Linked DNA regions of Cricetulus griseus. The protein of the gene in region 3 interacts with the protein of the main gene of each other region in a pairwise test. Links are inferred from orthologs where the notes say so. Each region holds a gene or a part of one and is shown on either strand. Other genes may lie near its edges.

Region 1 (6,306 bases), on a different chromosome or scaffold from region 3:
GAGCTGCACTACCACAAGGTACTCAGCTGCTGGCCAGCCCTGCCCGCGTGCATGGGAGGGCCCCAGGCACAGTGCCTGGTGGTCACGCAGCTGCTCTATGCTGGCTTCTCTTAGCTCATAGCACACATTTGCCACCGCCCTCCACTGTTGCCCAACACAGTAGCTACAGACCATACATACACTTTATCCATACAGAGGCTAGAGAAATGGAGGCCATGGATCTAGGCCATAGTGTTGGCTCAGACTCTGGGCCCAGTGAAGGATCTGGTGTCTGTAAGGAAAGGGTCCTACATGCTGGGAATGGCAGCCACTGTCCTTAGCGGTGTGTGGCACAAAAGCCTGGTCTACTCTGCAGCCTGGCTTCATTTGCCTTGCACTTGTGTGGTGTTAAGGGGTCAGCTGGCTGTAGAACTCTTCTCAGGGCAGTGTCCACTTCTGGCCTGGCCCCTCTACCAGTCTTCTGCTCATTTTCCAGTCACACCTCTTTTCTTTGGTGTCATCTGTGGCCCTTGGCTTTGGACTTTGCAGCACATTCTTCTACTGTCCCCAACTCTGTTGTCCTCTGTTCCCCTCTCTGACTTCCACTCTTCCCTCTCTGCCCTTCCCTGGTCCCATCCCACCCTGGGTCTGCCTGGCACAGGGCCGCCTGTCTGAAGAGATTGAGAAGCTGCGCCAAGAGGTGGATCAGCTGAAGGGTCGAGGGGGGCCGTTTGTGGATGGCATCCACTCCAGGTACTAGAGCGGGGGATGCGGTGCATGCTGGGCGATGGTCTTGGCTGGACCTTGTGAAAGGATATCCCCTCACCAAAACACTGCCCAGGACCTCAGGGCCTTCCTTCTATTCAGGATGGGAAACAGGGGCTCAGAGCGCTTGGCTAGTCCTTCAGCTCATGTGGCACTTAGGAAGGGAGCACATGTCCTCTAGGGGGCGCTGAAAGGCAAGGAATCAAAGGTTCTCCTCTGCTCTGGGAGTAGGCTATGCTTCCTGGCTCCTTGCCAGAGGACACACGCACGCCCACCCTTGAAGGGTCCGCTGAGTTACTTGCTCTCCCCTATCCCACAGGGCCTTCTGTAGAGTTCACCACTCATTGTAGTTCTTTTGAGGCACCATTTTTAGGATTGCTGTTTGAGAGCAGAAGGCCACCCACATTCAAGTAGGAGACAGTGGACAGAGAGACATCAGGGAGAATAAATTGGGACAGTAAATTGGGGCAGCAAATTCTCTTTCCTGTTGGAAGTTGAGGCGCTGTGTTACTCCTGTGGCCGTGGCATCCCTTTACCTGAAAACGTTGTAAGGCATGGTGAGTGGGGCTTGCAGCTGTACTTTGTGAAGCAGTTGGCATTGAACTCACTTCTCAGCTCAGCAAGGGAGCATGAGGAGCAAGATGACTGGATGCTACTGCTAAATGTTCTTGGCTCCTGGCTGTCTCTGTAAATCAGAGTCTCTTAGACATGCTGTTCCCTTCAGTCAGCGCTCTTGATGCCTCAGGGAAGTGGGCATTAGCCATTAGGAAGGTGGTTAAGGGAATATACACGCATGTGTGGATGGGCAGAGTGTTTCAGTGAGGGAAAAGGACGTTGGGTTGGAGGTGAGAGGCCTCTGGAGGCCTCTGAGGTGGTAGCCATGTAAGTTTGCCAAGAATTCTGCTCTTGTGTAAGGAGGGGGATGCAGAGAAGGGAGTTGGGATAGTTACAATTTCTCCTTTCCTGTTGATTGTCCAAATGGAACAAGCTCTCAGCGAATGAGCACACCAAGCCCTTTGCTACTGCTTGGTTTCCTTGCTGACTGGGAATTCTTGGCTTTGCCTGTAGAATCACTAGACTTTTCCCAGAACTGAGGTGGGGGAGCTGGCTAGGCACTCCCTCTTTCCAGGTACATGGCATAGATTGTAGGCTCTGTTGCTTCTCTGTACTGGGCTCCATCAAGGCTTCTGAGCTGAGAAGACAGAGTGGAAGTGTCACAGAGGAGGCTTCTAGATAACCCAGACACTGTTCCTGGGACCCTAAACTCTTGTGTCTGTATTTTACAAGTGGGGCAGCCAAAATGGATTCTCTAGCCTGTACCTGTGATGTAGCTTCAAGGTTCTCCAAATCTTCCTGGGGATGCGGATGACACATCTGGGTTGAATTTTAGCCAGGTGTTCAGTTCAGATTATCAGGAAACCTGGAGAGAGTTGCTAGTGCGAAGACCAAGAAGCAAAAACCTCCAGAGTTAAAGGCCCTTAGAGCTCATCTCTTTGGATTCCTCTTCTCCGCCCCTCCCCCCTCCTTCCCCCCAGGCCAAGAGCCCTCCTGTGTGGCTGCTGTCAAAAGCCTGAGGTCCTCCACTTGAATGTCACTCTGACAGGGAGCTCAACTTTTTGAAAGCATCCTAATCTCCTTGTCAGGAGAAGATCCTACTTATGCAAAATGGACCACTTCTCCCTACAGCTTTTCCCCTGGTCAATTTGGCCCCACAGCCCCAGAGCATAAGTAGAGCCTTGTGCCTCCATGGCAGCTCTTCTGATGTTTGGGACAGCTGTGTCCCAGATCGCTTCTCTCCAAACTGGCCATTCCCCAGTCGTTGGGCCCTCTAAGTGTAAGTTGGGGCCATCAGTCTTCAGAGCTTATCTTTTCCCTCCTGCCACTCAAGGTCACACGTGGGCAGCGCATCAGATGTGCGGTTCTCTCTGAGTACAGCCACACACGCACCCCCAGGTCTGCATCAGCGCTATACAGTACTGAGGGAAGATTCTGCCAAGGTAAGGGGTAGAGGGATGTGTGTGGGTCTCCCTGGGGAATTTGGGGTTAGTTTGGCCGTGTGTCTGGCTCCAGTTACACAGACGACTGGCGTGTGGTGCAAAGCCTTGCCCAACCTTCTCCCTTGTCAATGACAGCTGCAGCCTTGGAGTTGGGGCTCTTGTCAGCTGCAACAGCTGTCACCCCCCCTTGCCTCAGCCTCCTGGTGGGCAAGAGGTAGGGGTGGAAGAGGGCCAGTGGTCCCTGAGGCCCCACTACAGCATGTGTGCGTGTGCCTGGGTGTGCACCATTCATTTCTGGTGTCTAAGAGGGGGTTGCAGTGGTAAAATGGAATTAACAAGCTTCCTGGAACAAGATCATAGCTTATAGTGGAGAGGAGGGAGAGATGACAGATTAACTGGCCCTGGGGAATGGCACCTGAGAAGCAGCTGCCAGTTTCTGAGTTGCCCCAGGGAGATGGGTGGGCAGTGAGAAGAAAGCCACTGCCCTCCAGTAGTTAACCCTCATATGTTCTGGGGCTCTAGAAGCTGTGGATGGAGGAGGGGGGGGACACCTAGTCTGATGGGGGAAGATTTATGTTCACCTCTAAGTTTGATGTGTAGGTAGAAGGCTGAGGCAGGAGGACTGTGAGCCATTTGGAGCAACATGGCAAGTTCCCATTGAAAAGGAAGGAAGGAAGGAAGGATGGATGGAAGGAAGGAAGGAAGGGAGAATAAAAGAAAAAGCAAGCAAGCAGGCATGTAGCGGGTTCATGTAGACATGTAGGGAGGCGTGTATAGAGGCATGTAGGGAAGCAGAGAGGCATTAGGGAGGTAGGCAATCTGATCACAGTCTGAAGGCCTCTTCTTTTCTACCTCTCCCGACTTTACTCTGCTGTTCACAAGAACACAGCAACACCCAGGAGCTCCGTGCAAAGGCGACAGCATCTAACATAGCTGGGGGGGGGGGGCACTGAGGCCTTGGGTCAGAGTGAGTGTGTTAGAGCCCTTCTGGCCCATTTTTCAGCAGCCCACATTTTCTCATGGCTTCCAGAGATACTGATGCCATGGGATGAAGGTAGGCAGGTTCCTACTGCCCAGCTATCCAGGGATCTTACTGCTGCTCCTTTTGTTTGCTAAGGACTGGAAGCCATCACCACTGTCGGGGGTGTTGGCCGCCACCACCACCACCGCTGCCTTTGACAGTGACCCTGAGATCTCTGATGTGGATGAGGATGAGCCTGGGGGCTTGGTGGGCACTCAAGTTGATGTCATCTCACCTGGTGGCCACTCTGACGCCCAGACCCTGGCCATGATGCTGCAGGAGCAGCTGGATGCCATCAACCAGGAGATCAGGTGGGGTAAGGGTGAGGCTTGCAAAGTGCCTGGGAGGATGGGCCCTTTGTTTTGGGGCACACAGTGTAAGTATTGGCTCCCATCCCACCTTACAGCTTAGGACCACAGTCCAGGGATGCTTTGTGGCATCAAGCAAGGGTTTGGACTAATAGTGACCCCGGAGGGGCAGGGCTACAGATGACTCTAGGTGACATCTCTTCTCTCCAGGCCAGGAGTGGCTGGGCTCAGGAAGACGGAGCTGTCTTGTGCTCCTGGTAATCAGTTTGACTGTGACAAAGCCAGCTAAGGGTGGGAGCTTCGTCAGTGTTACGGTCAGCTGAGAGGGGTTGAGTGACTTGTTTCAAAGCCACATGTTAAGTAGATGAACCAGGATCCAGTCTCAGGCAGAAACTCCCCAGTGCCATGCCTTTCATCTCTAAGGAGACATCAGATAGAAACAGAGACAGGGAAAGCTGTCAAAACCCTGACCTTATCCTGCCTTTTTAGTGAGCTTATTTATGTCACTGTCATGCAGGGAGGTAAAGTTGACAGGCTGATGAGGTCAGGCTTTCAAATTTGAGAAGTCAGCATCAAGATACCCATGTCAATGCAAGACCCCCTGCGTTCAACTCTGTCGAGTAAAACTGTAGGGACAGCTGCCATTCATTGTCACAACCATCTTTCCCCCCCCTCAAAGAAAGGGCATTTAAACAGCTCCAGAGTGGGAAAGGTGTCCTCTCAGCGTGAGGACACGTCCTTCTCTTTGAAGCGTAGTCACCATCTTTCTACCAGTGTGTGTGAATGTGTGTGCACACCTCTCTCTGAGTGCCCCCAGGCACAACACACCATCTCCCCGTGTTTCTCATTCTCAGTGGAACAGAAGAAACCTCATTAGGGGATGGCATCAGTGAAAGAGAGAGAGAGAGAGAGAGAGAGAGAGACAGAGAGACAGAGAGAGAGAGAGAAGCTCTGTTTGGTCATCCCTGACAAAGATAAAGCCCAATAATGGTGTCTGTAGAGAAACTGAGATACAAGAGAGCAAAGCACCTGCTCAAGGTCACTGCTGTAGCTAGTGCAGGCCAGGGATTCCTACTGAGATGGCTTATAGTTCATTGGCACAGTGCCTCCTTCCCAGAAATGGCGTTTGTTCAGCTGGAAGGTTGTGCCTGTAGGTAGTGCCCACCTTTGGTACAAGGGCGGCAGCACCCAGCACCGCCTCCTGGGCTAATGGCCAGGTCTGGTTTGCTGCCCTGCAGGATGATCCAGGAGGAGAAAGAGTCCACTGAGCTTCGTGCTGAGGAAATTGAGACCCGTGTGACCAGTGGCAGCATGGAGGCCCTCAACCTGACACAGCTGCGCAAGCGCGGCTCTATCCCCACCTCTCTGACTGCCCTGTCCCTGGCCAGTGCATCTCCTCCACTCAGTGGCCGCTCCACACCCAAGCTCACTTCTCGGAGTGCTGCCCAGGATCTGGACCGAATGGGGGTCATGACCCTGGTGAGTCTGTGCACTGGTTGAGAGGCCCTGTGAACCCCAGGCCTGTGCTGGGGAGTTTACACGGGAGGCCTGATCTCTCTCCATCCCTCTGGCATCCTTTTCCAATGACACAACATACTAGGTCACCAGCATGCCTTTCTGGGTAGGAAAGGGTTTGTAACTTCTTCCCTGCTCCCTCCCTTGGATGATCACAGACGGTTAGAGCCATGCCCATTGTCCAGCTGCTCTCTCTTCTTCATAGGGAGCCATGATTTATCTTTCCAGGTTCTCCGTTTGCTGTGGTACATTTCCCAGGCTGGTATGAGTCCCTGACTCCTCTGCTGTCACCCTAAGCAGGCTCGCCCTTTCCTCTTTCTCTTTTTCAGCCCAGCGACCTCAGAAAACATAGGAGGAAGCTGCTGGTGAGTGCTTCCTGGCATCCAGGTACTAGCGGGTTACCGGCTCCCAGGCCCTCCCCTCTGGGCTGCTGCCCCCAGCCCTGGGGTCTGAGTTGACCTTGAGCAGCCACAGGGCCTCTCTGCTGCGTGCGCACTGTCTGGGCTGGGTAGGCAGGCCCCAGCTCTCTCCCTCTACCCCCTGACAACCCACTGTCTGTTCAGTCGCCAGTGTCTCGGGAAGAGAACCGAGAGGATAAAGCCACCATAAAATGTGAGACTTCTCCTCCTTCCTCACCCAGGACGCTGCGGCTAGAGAAGCTTGGCCACTCAGCCCTGAGTCAAGAAGAAGGCAAGAGGTAAATGGGTCAGGCTGCAGTTCT
Region 2 (6,406 bases), on a different chromosome or scaffold from region 3:
TTTGTTTAAGTTTAAAAATATAAAAAGGGTGCAAGATGAGACGTGAGAACCAGAGATACATTAACCATAGAGTTTTATTCCAGTGGGGGAGGGGGAGAGCGGTAGAGAGAGGAAGGCAGGAAAGAGGTGAGAAAGAGAGCAAAGAGAAGAGGGCTTGAGAGTAGGAGAAGAGAGAGTAAGTGGCAGGGGTCTGTCTTTTAAAGGGTCCTTTACATCTGCGGGCAGACTTAGTTCCCATGGAACCCTGGGCTGACCAGGGTACTGCCTGAGTGGCTTCTGCCAGGTAACAGGGCCAGGCCAGCATAATGCCTGAACTTTTCAGGAGGAAGTGTGTCACTGTGAGGACAGTCTCTTTTGCTCAAGCTTCCCTCAGTGTGAGTCAGCCAACTTCCTGTTGCCTGAAAGACATAGCCTCTCAGTTCCAGTATCACAGCTGTCTGCACGCTGCCATGCTCCCTGTCATGATGATAATGGACTGAACCTCTGGAACTGTAAGCGAGCTACCTCAATTAAATGTTTTCTTTATAAGAGTTGCCATGGTCATGGTGTCTCTTCACAGCAATAAAAAACCCTAACTAAGACATAGTTATATATTAAAACATAAACGAAGTGGATCCCTTCTGAGGAATGATACCTGAGAATGACCTCAGTTCTACACACACACAAAGAGCTACTCACCCCAGAAAGGGAATCCATGACAGACCGAAGTTACGACTGCACCAACTTGGTGAACTAATGAGTTTTTGTTGGGGTTACTAACAGGAGTATGAGTGAAGGGTTACTTACAAGGAGCAGGGATGACTCAAAAACTACTGCGCCATTGGAAAATCCTACTGGGGGAAGTGAAGCCCTGGAGCTCTCTGGATAGCCTGTAGGCAGTTTCAAAGACTGAGAACCCTCTTCACATGGGGTTGTCACTCCTTTTTATACAGCTGGCAAGGACCTTTCTGTTTTCACAGACCTTTTGTTTTCCTCCAGAACCTCACAAACTTCCTCATTCCATCCCGTCAGGGATTCTGAGGAAAATACCATACAACAGTAATTATGGGGTGTTCCTCAAGATTTGAAAAGAAATGTACCAATAATTTGGTACTTGTAGAAGATAAGCTCACAGTGCTAAAAGGGACTAAGACAAGGTTTGTTCTGGAGCCATTTTGAGTGACCATGGCCCAGGAACACAGGTTTAGGTTGTCCTAAAATCCATGTTCTAAGGTGGAAACAGGTTTCACAAGGCTTTAGTTTTACAGAACAATGAAAGTCATAAATCAAGGCAAATTTACACTGGTGGATACACCAGAAAGTTACAATGAGATGGGGAAACATTTCTATAGGCCCAAGATGTTACTGAAGCTTTGGGGTTAGTGGAAGTTAGTGGTCTGCTAAGTAAACAGATTCTAAAAGGTCTTTTATCTATTATTCACAGCAAGATGTTAGTTCTGACAGAGATGGGCAAGGAGTAGCTGTTCTAGAAGTAGTCCAAGATAAGGTGATTAGCCACTAGACCTTCAGCATTCCAGTATCTCCATATTACTGTAGTACTGTAAATCAGTCTGCACACAAAGCTTCTTTGTTTTATTGGATTTATTTTTATTATTTTATGTATATGACTGTTTTGCGTGCATGTACGTCAGCGCATCACATTCGGGCCTGGTGCCCTTGGAGGTAGTAAGCCTCCATGTGGGTGCTGGGAATGGAACCCAGGTCCTATGTAACAAGAAGTGCTTTTAACCACTGAGCCAACACTCCAGCCCCTCCCCCTTTAATGTCTATTTTTTAGTACTTATGTTTTGTGTGTATGTGTGTACACCCACGCGCGCGTGCGCCCCGCCCCACCTCTGGGCTTTCTGCCCCGCCCCGCGGGGAGGGAGGGTTGTTCCATCCCTATCTCGCCGCGCATTCGTCTGGTTTCTCAGCGATGCACTCTGCTGGGTTCTCCGAAGCCTCCACGTTTGTTCCTGCGCTCTTTCTGTCCGGATCCTCTCAGAGTTGCAGGCCCAGATCCACGGAGTGCTCCCCGCCCCTCCCGGAGCGCTTGCCCCTGCTACTCCGCCTGCAGGGTCCGCGGCGCCTTCTGCGGAACTCCGGGCCATAGACGCATTTCCGGAGGACTGAGTTCACTGTTTTAGTCAGGACTTCCGGTCACCGCTACGGCGCATGGCGGTGAGCTTTGGAAGAAGGCGTTTGCGTGGCGAGGCCCTGGGTGTGGGGCCCCTGTGAATTTCCTCCTGTTCCACGTTTTTCAGGCGTTAGGGCGTCCTGCTCGGGAGGCACCAGCAGCCTCAAGCCGGAGAACTCAACGCGCTGCGCGCAGACCTCGGCTCCCCCGTCCTGCTTGCGGTGCCGCAGATCCGCCCCTTGTCAGTTTAGTGCAACCTGCTTGTGACTCTGCCACCAGAGCACATCCCACAGGCAACACTGTGTCGATGAAGCAAAAGAAGAAGAAAATCCCGAACAGGGTCTCTGGGACAAATGGAGACGGAAAGATCTCCGAGAAACCTGTCCTAGACGAAGCTCCCCCCAGTGCTGAAGCCCAGGTAAGGGTGGGATTCCCTGTGAGCTTTCTGGGTGCTAGCTAGTCCTCCTGAGAGTGTGGTCTAGTTGTGCGGAATTAAGGCACTGAAGGGATGGGACTGGCTGGGGTCTGCCGAGTCCTGATGCCTATGACAGCCATGACCTTCTTTCCACCCCAGGCGGAGCAACTGGCGAGGGAGCTGGCCTGGTGTGTGGAACAGCTAGAGCTGGGACTCAAGACGCAGAAACCCACCCCGAAGCAGAGTGAGAGCCCCTTCTTTATAGTTAGGGAAATGTAAATGGTGATAGTGCTGTAGCCTGATGGTATTGCCAGGGGATGGAATTGTTGCTTTTGTAGGGAGTATGTATGAAGTTACCAGCTCCTTATTTTTATCTGCAGAAGAGCAGGCTGTTGGGGCAATCCGAACCTTGCGCAGTGAAAAAACCCCCCTGCCCCGGAAGAGACAGCTGATGCGATCCTTGTTTGGGGACTACAGGGCTCAAATGGATGCCGAATGGCAGGAAGCCCTGAGGGCTCTAAGGACTGGTGAGGAACCGGGAAGTGATTGATTCAGTTTATGTACTTCAAAGAGGTAGGGAGAAGCTCAGCTCAGCAAGGTTGGTGCTGGAGGAAATGGGCACAGGGAAAACCCTAAGCAGGAAGAATGTATATACCTTTCTGGGCTCCTGGAATCAGGAGAACCCTGGTCCTCACCTTGTTCTGTTTTTGGGGTGGGAAAACCCAGCTCACCTGTCTAGGCCTTGGTTCACTCCACTGACCACAAAGCCAGGTACCATGGGTTCAAATCCTGGATCTGTTATTTAGATCTTAACAGTTTAGCTAGTTACTGGGTCTCTGAATCTCATCAGGGAATGACAATATCATCATTATAGGAACATTGTGGGGGCAATCATAACTGCATGGATATTGTTAACTGTTACTCAGTTCTGACTCTTCGCTCCACCTTCCTACAGCTACCCATTCAGCCCGAGTACAGCTTGTAGGAGAGACTGCCAGAAAGAAGAGTGGAAGGGTCTGTAGGCCTCGTCCAACAGGAAGAACCAAGGCCACTGTGGACTTTCCTGATGAAGAATTTCGGTTCAATTTCTTTTAGATTCTCCTACATTCTGGACTAGTCATCCTCCTCCAGGGTGGTGTGACCATTTGTCTTGAATATAGGGGTCTTTCTATGAACTCTTTTGGCAGAAGTAGGATTGCTTTGTCTCTAATTGGTTTGTGGACATGAAACTGCTGCCCCGGGTGAGACTGTCCTTGAACTTCTCAAGGAAATGTTCCTCCTGTCAGAAGAGAGGTGCTTTGGGAACTCCTCTGTGCTAAGCCTGAGTGTTGAGTGGATTGCAGGAATTGTGCTCCAGTCTCTGGGAATAACTGTTGGTGGTAAGGAACTGAAGAATCTGTGTACTTTTGAAAGGATCAACCTAATAAATATGTTTTTATTTTTTTAAAAAAATAGGTGATGAATGGAAGCTTGTGATGTCTATGGTGGATGGAGTTAGGTGGGGCAGGGACTGCCTTTACTTGGTACAGCTCTGATGTCAGGGTTTAGGTCTTTGTCCATGTTGTCTCTTTTTCTGAGGAGGTTGTCATCTTCAGAGAGCCAGTGTGGCCTCCATCAGGCCATCATTTGTTCTTGAGCTGCATGCTTTAACTTGAACTGTGTTTTAGCAGACTTGTGTCTTTTTTTAAAAAAAAACCTTTATTTATTTGTGTGAGTGTGTATGTGTGTGTATGAGCATGCTAGGCACATGTGTGTAGGTCAGAGGTTTAACCTCTCAAGGATTAATCTCAGCCTCTAGATTTGGTGGCAGTTGCCTTTACTCACTAAGCCATTTTGCCAGCCCACACACTGCCTCTTTATGGGTACTGAACCCTCTGCTATACTGAGTTGAGATTTTCAGGTGTTCACACCAATGTAATCTGGTGTTGCCCAAAGTCAAATCCCAGACTAGATATAATCTGGAGTCCAGCTGTATTCAACATTTTCTGTATGAATATTCTGTGAGCAGTTCAAACTCAGAATGTTGCAGAATACCTAATTAGGCCCTGGGTCTCCCTTTCCTTTTTAGTCAGTGATATTCACTGCCTTGTCTAGTTGGTTATTAGGCCAGAAACCTATGTCATTCTTGATTTCTCTCTTTTTCCAACACTATGTATTCAATACTTAGTGTTATCGTAGGTTTAGGAGACAGTATTAGTGTGTTAGGGTTTAGAGTTTGGGTTATGGTTGGAGGACTAGATGGGTTAAGGTGTTAAGGTTAGCTGAGGGTTAGGGGCTCTGGTCTGGTTCTGAGGTTAGGGTTATTGTGAATATTTATTTAAAAAAATATGTCCCTGTCTTTCCTCCTACTGGGTTGCCTCGTCCAGCCTTAATAAGAGAGGAGGTGCCTAGTCTATTACAACTTGATATTGTGGCTGGCTGATATACATGGGAGGCCTACCTTTTTCTGAAGAGAAATGGAAGAGAACTGGGGGTAAGGGAGAAGAGGGGAGACTGAGGGGAGGGACTAGAAGGAAAGGAGAAAGGGAAGGGATATGATTGGGCGGGAAAAAATTAATTTATTAAAAAACACTCATTAGTTTTTTGTTTGTTTATTTTTTTAGAGTTAGGGTTTCTCTGTATTGCCTTGGAACCTGTCCTGGAACTCGCACTGTAGACCAGGCCGGCCTCGAACTCACAGAGATCGCTTGCCTCTGCTTCCCGAGTGCTGGGATTAAAGGTGTGCACCACCACCACCACCACCACCACCACCACCACCACCACCCCTTGTTTTCTGAGACAGGGTTTCTCTGTGTAGACCAGGCTGGCCTCAAAAGAGAGCTGTCTGCCTGTCTCCCGAGTGCTGGGATTAAAGGCATGTGCCGCCACCACCACCTACCTGGCTATCATCTGTTCTTTTGTTCAGATACCATGGAGACCCCACTGGATGGACTCTTACTAGTCCACATTTACAAAGAGGGAGGCCAGTACAGAGGGAAATGGCCTCAATGCTCCTAAGTAAAGCTGTAATCAAGCAAGACCTTTGCTTCATTCTCAACTTGAAATTACTGATATAAAAGAATAAAAAGCCAGGCGGTGGTGGCCCATGCCTTTAATCCTAGCACTGGCAGGCAGATCTCTGTGAGTTTGAGGCCAGCCTGGTCTATAGAGCTAGTTCCAGGACAGCCAGAGCTGTTACAGACAGAAACCCTGTCTCCAAAAACAAAACAAAAACTACTCACCAAAGGCAACTTGGAGAGGAAAGAGTTTATTTGTCTTATATGTCCTGATCACTGTCCACCACTGAGAGAAGCCAAGTCAAGAACTGGAGGCTAGAACTCAAACTGGCCATGGTGGCAGTGGGCTGGGCATTCCACCTCAACCATTAATCAAGAAAATGTCCCCACAGACTTGCCTATAGGCAGATCTGGTGGAGGCATTTTTTTCCCATTGAAGTTACTTTTCCCCAGATAATCCTGGCTTGTGTTAAGTTGACAAACTAGCCAATAATTGACTCCTTGTCAGCTTGACACACAAGCATCAGTGCCAAATAACTTTTCCTCTTGTTTATCTCCAAGATCTCATGTTAATAACACAATGCATTAGAAGGCACCAAAATGAGTCAGATGTGTTGATGAAAATGAAGCAATTTCTTCTTGGATTAGCTTGACCAAGAGTGAGCCCAAATTTTAATTCTCCTCTTCTCTCCCTGTGTCTGTTATTACTGGCCTTGTCTGCATCATATGTCTGATCTGTCTGTCCCTATTGCCCATGCCTGGTCCTAACAAAGTGCTTTGTTCTGCCCACTCCCCACCCCCGGTTTCTTTGTGTAGCTCTGGCTGTCCTGGAACTCACAGAAATCTACCTGCCTCTAACCCCAGAGTGCTGGGATTAAA
Region 3 (5,942 bases):
CTTCTCCTTTCCCACAAGTGGAAGGACACCTTCTGATAACCCCTTCCTTCATCCTGGTTCCCAGGATAGGAGGAATTAGGATTCTCTGGGAGGGAGCTGAGCCTCACTTGGTATCTCACCTTTTTCTTCAGCTTGATGGCGTTGCCTTCCTTTACCATCCATGTGCCCACCCCTGGCTGAAGCTCCAGCTTGCTCTCTTGGCCCATATGTGTGTGGCCAAGCCCACACTCATTCCTGACTCCAGTCTCACTTGGGACCGGGTAAGTGGTTCGTGAAAGGTGTGCCCAAAACAAAAAGAAAGCAAAAATGTAAGGGAAAAAAAAAAAGAAAAAAGCCCGGCTTGGTGGCTCACATCTTTAATCTCAGCACTCTGGAGGCAGAAGCAGGCAGATCTCTGAGTTCGAGGCCTGCTGGTCTATGTAGTTCCAGGACACAGTGTCCTGTCTCAGCATGCCCTCACCCCCCAACCACCCCCCAAAAAAAGTTGTTCTGCAGAAGGCTGCAGCCCCTTGGGCAGAGAAGGAAAACTCAGGGCTGCTTCCTTCATCTTAGACCTAAGTTACCTTCTTTCATAGCCCCTGGTGCTGACAGCATGGGGGACTGCACTGGAGATGGCATGGATAGAGCCAGCTTGGGCTGCTCACTGGTTGAAGAGGCGGCGGCGCCGGCAGCAGAGAAAGAGTGTGTGGATTCTCTCTGACACCCTTTCTGGGCCCACTCCCATGATGCCGGCCCCCAGCAGAGGGAAGCTGTGTGGGAGACGGTGTGTACAGGTGAGGTGAGGGGTGCTGAGCCCAGGTTTGGTGGTGGGAGCACTAGGTCAGAGCAGAGCAGGGCAGAAGGTGACTCTGCTTCTCTTCCCGTTAGGCTCCGACTCTGGCCTTTGCTCTGCGAAGCTGGCGGCCTCCTGGTGTAGAGGTGACATCTAGAGGCTCTCTCAGTGTTGTCAGGAGAAGAGGGCTCCGAGCTGCCCTTGGTCTCCAGTCTACTCCCTCAGGCCTGAGGGTTTCCTTGGCCTCTTCACAGAGCCCGAAGGCCCAGCAGCCCATTTTGGGAACCTCATCTGTGGCCCCTGACTCCTTGATGACTGGGGGACCTGGAGGCAATGATAGGTCCAGGACAGAGGCTCAGATGCCCAGTGGGCAAGACAATCCAGAGGGTTGTGCCTGCCTGGGCCAGGCTTCCCCAGCTCCTCGAGCAGCAGCGCCTCCCCGGGTGGCCCGAGGCCCAACTCCACGCACAGAAGAGGCCGCTTGGGCTGCCATGGCCTTGACCTTCCTGCTGGTCTTGCTCACCCTGGCCACGCTCTGCACGCGATTGCACCGGAACTTCCGCAGGAGTGAGAGCATCTACTGGGGGCCCACAGGAGACAGCCAAGACACGGTGGCAGGTGAGAAGACCCCCCCGCCGCCCAGTCCCCAGCTTCTTGAATTCTTGCCCTTATCTCTTGCCTTCCTGCAGCTGTGCTGAAACGGAGACTGCCCTTGCCCTCGCGCCGGATCAAGCGGTCTCGCAGACGGCCCCTGCTCCCGCCCACACCGGATAGCGGCCCTGAATCGGAGAGCTCGGACTGAGCGGCTCCGCCCCTCTGTGACTGCTGCCACGTGGGCCGTGCGCCGGCGCCCCCTGGCGGCAGACGGAGAGGCCCTGGAGGCTTCTTTTGGTTTGCGTATCCTTTTAGCCTCCCCGATGCAAATTCCTGTTTCTAATTAAATTATTTTAGTAGAATTCGGAGTAGGGTGAGTGTATCTGCCCTCGGGAGAGTTACAGAGTCAAGCTGGCTCCCGGGAAGCCAGCATTCCCTGGCTATTAGAATCACATCAGGTGCTGGTACTTCCCACTAAACACACATTCATGCCTTTCTTTATCCCTAATCAATGTAGCTCAGGACAGCCTGAAACTTGTTATCCTGCCTCAGCCTCCAAGGATTGCCGATGGGGTAATGTGACAATGGTAAGTGACACATAACTGTGCTAGGCTCAGCCCCCACCTCTAGACATCAGCAGCGGCACATGGTCACTTATTTATTTTTGATACAAATGTACATGACACACGTCTTGACAGCTACCCACCACCACAGGTAGGGCTGGGCCACCTAAGGGAAGGTGGTTGGGGAGAATAGCTGGTGGGTGCTGTCAATGCCTTGCCACCTTCCCAGCTGCAGCCAGATCCCCAGGCCTCCAGGGGGTGGGTCACTGTAGGTGCAGGTAGTGATGTGGGTGCTGGCCTTGCAGAGGTTAGGGAGAGGGGCTCAGTTCTACCGCCACCAGCTGAGTTGGGGGCCCTGGGGAGCCAGCCCCAGGCTCAGGAGCTCTGCACTCTGCCTGGCCAGCACACTTCCCATAGGGGATGGGGGAAGAGATGGAGGGAAGTGGTTTTTCTTGTGTTTGTAGTGAGGGGCACAAGTAGGAGCAGCAACTGGACCACAGCTGGTAACCCTGACAGTCCCCCTGTCCAGGTAGGGGAGAGGGACACTGACCCCCAATGCTGATTCCACGACTCTGGTCCTTGCCCCTCAGAGCTCCAGGTGGGCCAGGTCTCTGGAACGGCACTGCCGCTCACATTGCAGTTGCAGGCACGCAGGGACACTTAGTTACCACAAAGTTGGGGAGAAGAAAGACTTTCCAGTGTTTGCTGCTGGGGACCCTGGCACACACGTTGGGGCCTGTGCTCTAGGCAGGGGCCATTTGGCATGAAAGAGCAGCAAGAGGGGGCTGGTGGCTACAGGGCAGAGACATCCAGAGATAATGTACAAAGGAGGGGGATGCCCCTGCTCAGCCCCCCTAGGGCTAAACTGGCTCATGGGGATAGGGTGCAGTAGGCGGAGCTGCCCCATTTGGAGTGTCCCTGTCCCACTCTTTGCTGAGGGTGCCCTGGAAGGTGAGGGGCTGGGAGGGTTCCTTGAGACTCCTGTACATCAAAAGGGTAGGGATGCTATGTACAGGGTGATGGGCATGGAATGTGGGGGGGCAGAAGCTCCTGTCACCTCACATTCCCATTCTTGAGAGGGTGGGCACCAGGGCACCTGGATACCAGAGGAGAATGGCGGCACTAAGGGCACTTGTGCCAGTGGCTCTGTTGGGGGGTGGGTTAGTGTCTGGAGTGGCCCAGCTCCCATGGCCAGTGAGGTCCCAGGGTGTGGGTAAGGGCAGGGAAAGTGGTCACTGCTTCTTCTCTCGGGTGGTGATGGTGACCAGCTGCTTGGCTGCCTTGGCGATGTCATAGGCGCATTGGATCACCTGCTGAGTCAGCAGCTGGAAGTCCACAGGGGCGCCAGGCTCTGGAGGCACTGTCTTCCGGCATTCACTCTGCAGCCGGTAGGCGCTGGCATTAAGCAGCCGCAATGAATTGCGCACAGGCTCCAGGGCCGGCCTCTGGAGGGAGGGGTGAGGAAAGGCTGAGAGCCTTGGACTTTAAGCCAGGTGTCTGATTGTGGCTCAGGGTGCTCACCTCCACCCAGGCAGCAGCCAGGTCACTTGCACCTGCCCCACCCCAAGGTTCCCACTCTGCTTCTCTGTGGCGCCTGTACCTTTGGGAAGAGAGAGGCCATCTCAGTCACAGCCAAATGGATCTTTTCCGAACAGGGCACAAAGCTGTCAGAGGAGGGGAGGAGTTGGATGAGGGGTTTCTCAGAATCTTAGTCAGGATCCTAGCATGAACCCTCCATCCAAGTACCAAGAAGTTAACAGGAGCCTGTGCCCATCCTACCTGTCATGTTTGAACTCCTGGGCTGCCCGCAATAGTTCCTGAATGTTCTTGGTGACCTGCTCTGTCTTCAGAATGACATCCTCTGTGCTGGGGAGCCCAGGGTCTAGGTCTCCTTCCAGGCTCTCCAGCTCAGGGTGGAGCTCATCCTCCTTGCCCAGCTCTAGGAATCGCTTCCCTTCAAGTCTAGGTCCAGGTGGGAAGAGAAAAGGAGCCATTGCAGCCACCTGCATGGCGGGCTCCGCACCACCTCCCTCCAGGTGCTGGCGGGACTGGGTAGAGCCCCACAGGTGTCTCACCCAAGTGGAGGGTCCCCACTCTGTGTGTTCTCATAGTCACTGTCTGCACCACTGCCATGGCGTGAGAGCTTGCTCTGGAGGGTATAGGGAAAGACGGTGGGTGAGTAAACTCCCAAACCCCTGTGTAGCCCACATGCTGTCTGTCCCTGGGCACTGGGATGACAATTACCGTATGGCGACTTCCTTCTGGAGAGCACGACAGCAGTGGAGAGGAGGGAGTGAAGGGCACAGAAGAGGCAGACACCCCCTTCCGGATCTGAAAGCCAAAGCAGGGCTAGAGTCATTCTCCACCTGTAGTCCAGTGTCTGTCCTGGTCCAACTTGACAGCTACCAGGCGCTAGTGACTCACTGGTGCAGGGTTCACCCTCCTCCCCCAAGTCCTGCTTACCCGATAAAGGCCAGTAGGGACATGTACCGAATAAATGGCATCATCTTCCAGCTCCTGTGGGGGGTAGCACAGAGTATTATGACAAGCTGTGTTAGTGTGGCCCTTATTTTCCCACCCAAGACCCACAGGCCACTCTCACAGTGCTGTGGAAAGGCTGGAGCCGTGTGGTGAGCTCGTCCCCAGGTGCACCTCCAAAGGGCTTCAGGGCAGAGCCCGGCTCATACATGGAGAAGGCCTGGCGGTCCCTGCGATGGGTGCTTCCAGCGGGCCCCATGGGTACGTGTTCTGCCCGTTCATTGGGAAGTGGGGGTGTAGGTGTTGGCCCTGACGGCTGCCGAAGCTGCAGGTTCTCTGCCTGCAGTTTGTGGATCTGAGTGTACACAGTGGTATCCAACTCTGGGTCAGGGTAGGTACCACCTTTGGGAAGAGATGACCTCTCCTCCCAGAGCCTCTGATGCTTTCCTCCTGCTCCCGCAAGCAACAGTGCTCACCTCCCTCTGCAGCCTCCGGAGCTCATCACTCAGGCTGCTGTTGACCTGCATGAGCTGCTCCACTCTGGCCTCGGAGGTGGCCAGAGCTTTCTTCAGCTCCAGGTACTCCTGCAGTGTCACAGCCCCATCCGACAGGTCTGAGGAGTCCATGCTCTGCAGAGACAGAAGCCAGTCAGTCTCGGGCAGAGGCTGACTCTGGGCTATGTGTAACAGGGAGCTGGGTCTACAGCAGGGACAGTGTTCAGACCCTAGCACGGTTGTTCCGAGTGGCGCCTGTGCTGGGCAAGGGCTCCTGGTCTGTGTCTTCGTCAGAAGCCACACTATCGTAGTCGTGTTGGTCGTCCAGGTCACTTTGGCTCTGTGCAGACAGCTCGAGGTTGTCTGAAGACACAAGATCTGTCACTCAGGGCTTGCTCAGCCATTGTTTATCCAGATCCCAAGCAAAGGTGGCTCCAAGGCCTGCAGCAGTGCTGCGGCCTGCTCATGTGGGGCTCACCTGTGGGGCTGCTCAGGCTCTTGCCCTGCTGCCTCCGTTTGGCCTCACTGAGAATGTCGATGATCAAGGTGGCGAACTCGCGGGCATTAAACCGAGCCAACTTCTGTCGTCCCTGTAAGGCAGAAGGGGCAAGGCCAGCATGAGGGGCCATTTCTGGTTGGCCCATGGGGGCTGGACCACAGCAGCAAAGTGGGACCCTGACATCCTTTCTATTCATAGCTTTTAAAAAAACCAAAACCCCAAACCCAGCCATCATCTGGCTGGTGAGCAGTGTGGAGCCTCAGGTCAGCAAAGGCCTAAGGCACACAGGGAGCCCCCAGGAGGAGACTGGAATGCCCACCAGTGCTAAAGAATAGCTTCATCCCATTCCCCGAACCCCAAAGCCTGTCAGACCCTAAGGGGAGGCCTCAGATTAAGGAAGGGCAGGGATCCCAGAAAGAAAGGAAACCACCCAGGCCTCCTGCCTATACCCCCTCACCTGGTTCCGAGTAGCTGAGTATTCTGGGTTGACTGGCAGGAAGGGCACAGCGCTGCGCTCCGTCACCAGGGTGCTGTGGTTTTGG

The links.
Region 1: the proteins of Git1 (region 3) and Ppfia4 interact in a two-hybrid assay, tested with the Homo sapiens proteins (2 studies listed by BioGRID). The link is inferred for Cricetulus griseus from reciprocal best matches to the Homo sapiens genes GIT1 and PPFIA4.
Region 2: the proteins of Git1 (region 3) and CUNH8orf33 interact in a two-hybrid assay, tested with the Homo sapiens proteins (2 studies listed by BioGRID and IntAct). The link is inferred for Cricetulus griseus from reciprocal best matches to the Homo sapiens genes GIT1 and C8orf33.

The regions. Positions count from the first base shown.
Region 1 is NC_048598.1:54,891,917-54,898,222, forward strand, and holds part of Ppfia4 (liprin-alpha-4), read left to right. Parts: intron 1-640; coding exon 641-732; intron 733-2,632; coding exon 2,633-2,741; intron 2,742-3,858; coding exon 3,859-4,073; intron 4,074-5,308; coding exon 5,309-5,549; intron 5,550-5,914; coding exon 5,915-5,950; intron 5,951-6,148; coding exon 6,149-6,282; intron 6,283-6,306. UniProt on the Homo sapiens protein: May regulate the disassembly of focal adhesions. May localize receptor-like tyrosine phosphatases type 2A at specific sites on the plasma membrane, possibly regulating their interaction with the extracellular environment and their association with substrates.
Region 2 is NC_048595.1:374,228,695-374,235,100, forward strand, and holds CUNH8orf33 (UPF0488 protein C8orf33 homolog), read left to right. Parts: upstream 1-1,879; 5' UTR 1,880-2,154; coding exon 2,155-2,160; intron 2,161-2,243; coding exon 2,244-2,534; intron 2,535-2,690; coding exon 2,691-2,775; intron 2,776-2,911; coding exon 2,912-3,058; coding exon of another isoform or gene 3,059-3,081; exon of another isoform or gene 3,082-3,104; intron 3,105-3,486; coding exon 3,487-3,626; 3' UTR 3,627-4,241; downstream 4,242-6,406.
Region 3 is NC_048600.1:90,907,271-90,913,212, reverse strand, and holds the end of Git1 (ARF GTPase-activating protein GIT1), read right to left. Parts: coding exon 5,858-5,942; intron 5,492-5,857; coding exon 5,380-5,491; intron 5,265-5,379; coding exon 5,131-5,264; intron 5,037-5,130; coding exon 4,884-5,036; intron 4,763-4,883; coding exon 4,532-4,762; intron 4,447-4,531; coding exon 4,393-4,446; intron 4,261-4,392; coding exon 4,174-4,260; intron 4,079-4,173; coding exon 4,005-4,078; intron 3,892-4,004; coding exon 3,709-3,891; intron 3,594-3,708; coding exon 3,530-3,593; intron 3,375-3,529; coding exon 3,162-3,374; 3' UTR 2,012-3,161; downstream 1-2,011. Other genes in the region: Tp53i13 (tumor protein p53-inducible protein 13), read left to right, coding at 132-260, 576-773, 868-1,390, 1,462-1,574. UniProt on the Homo sapiens protein: GTPase-activating protein for ADP ribosylation factor family members, including ARF1.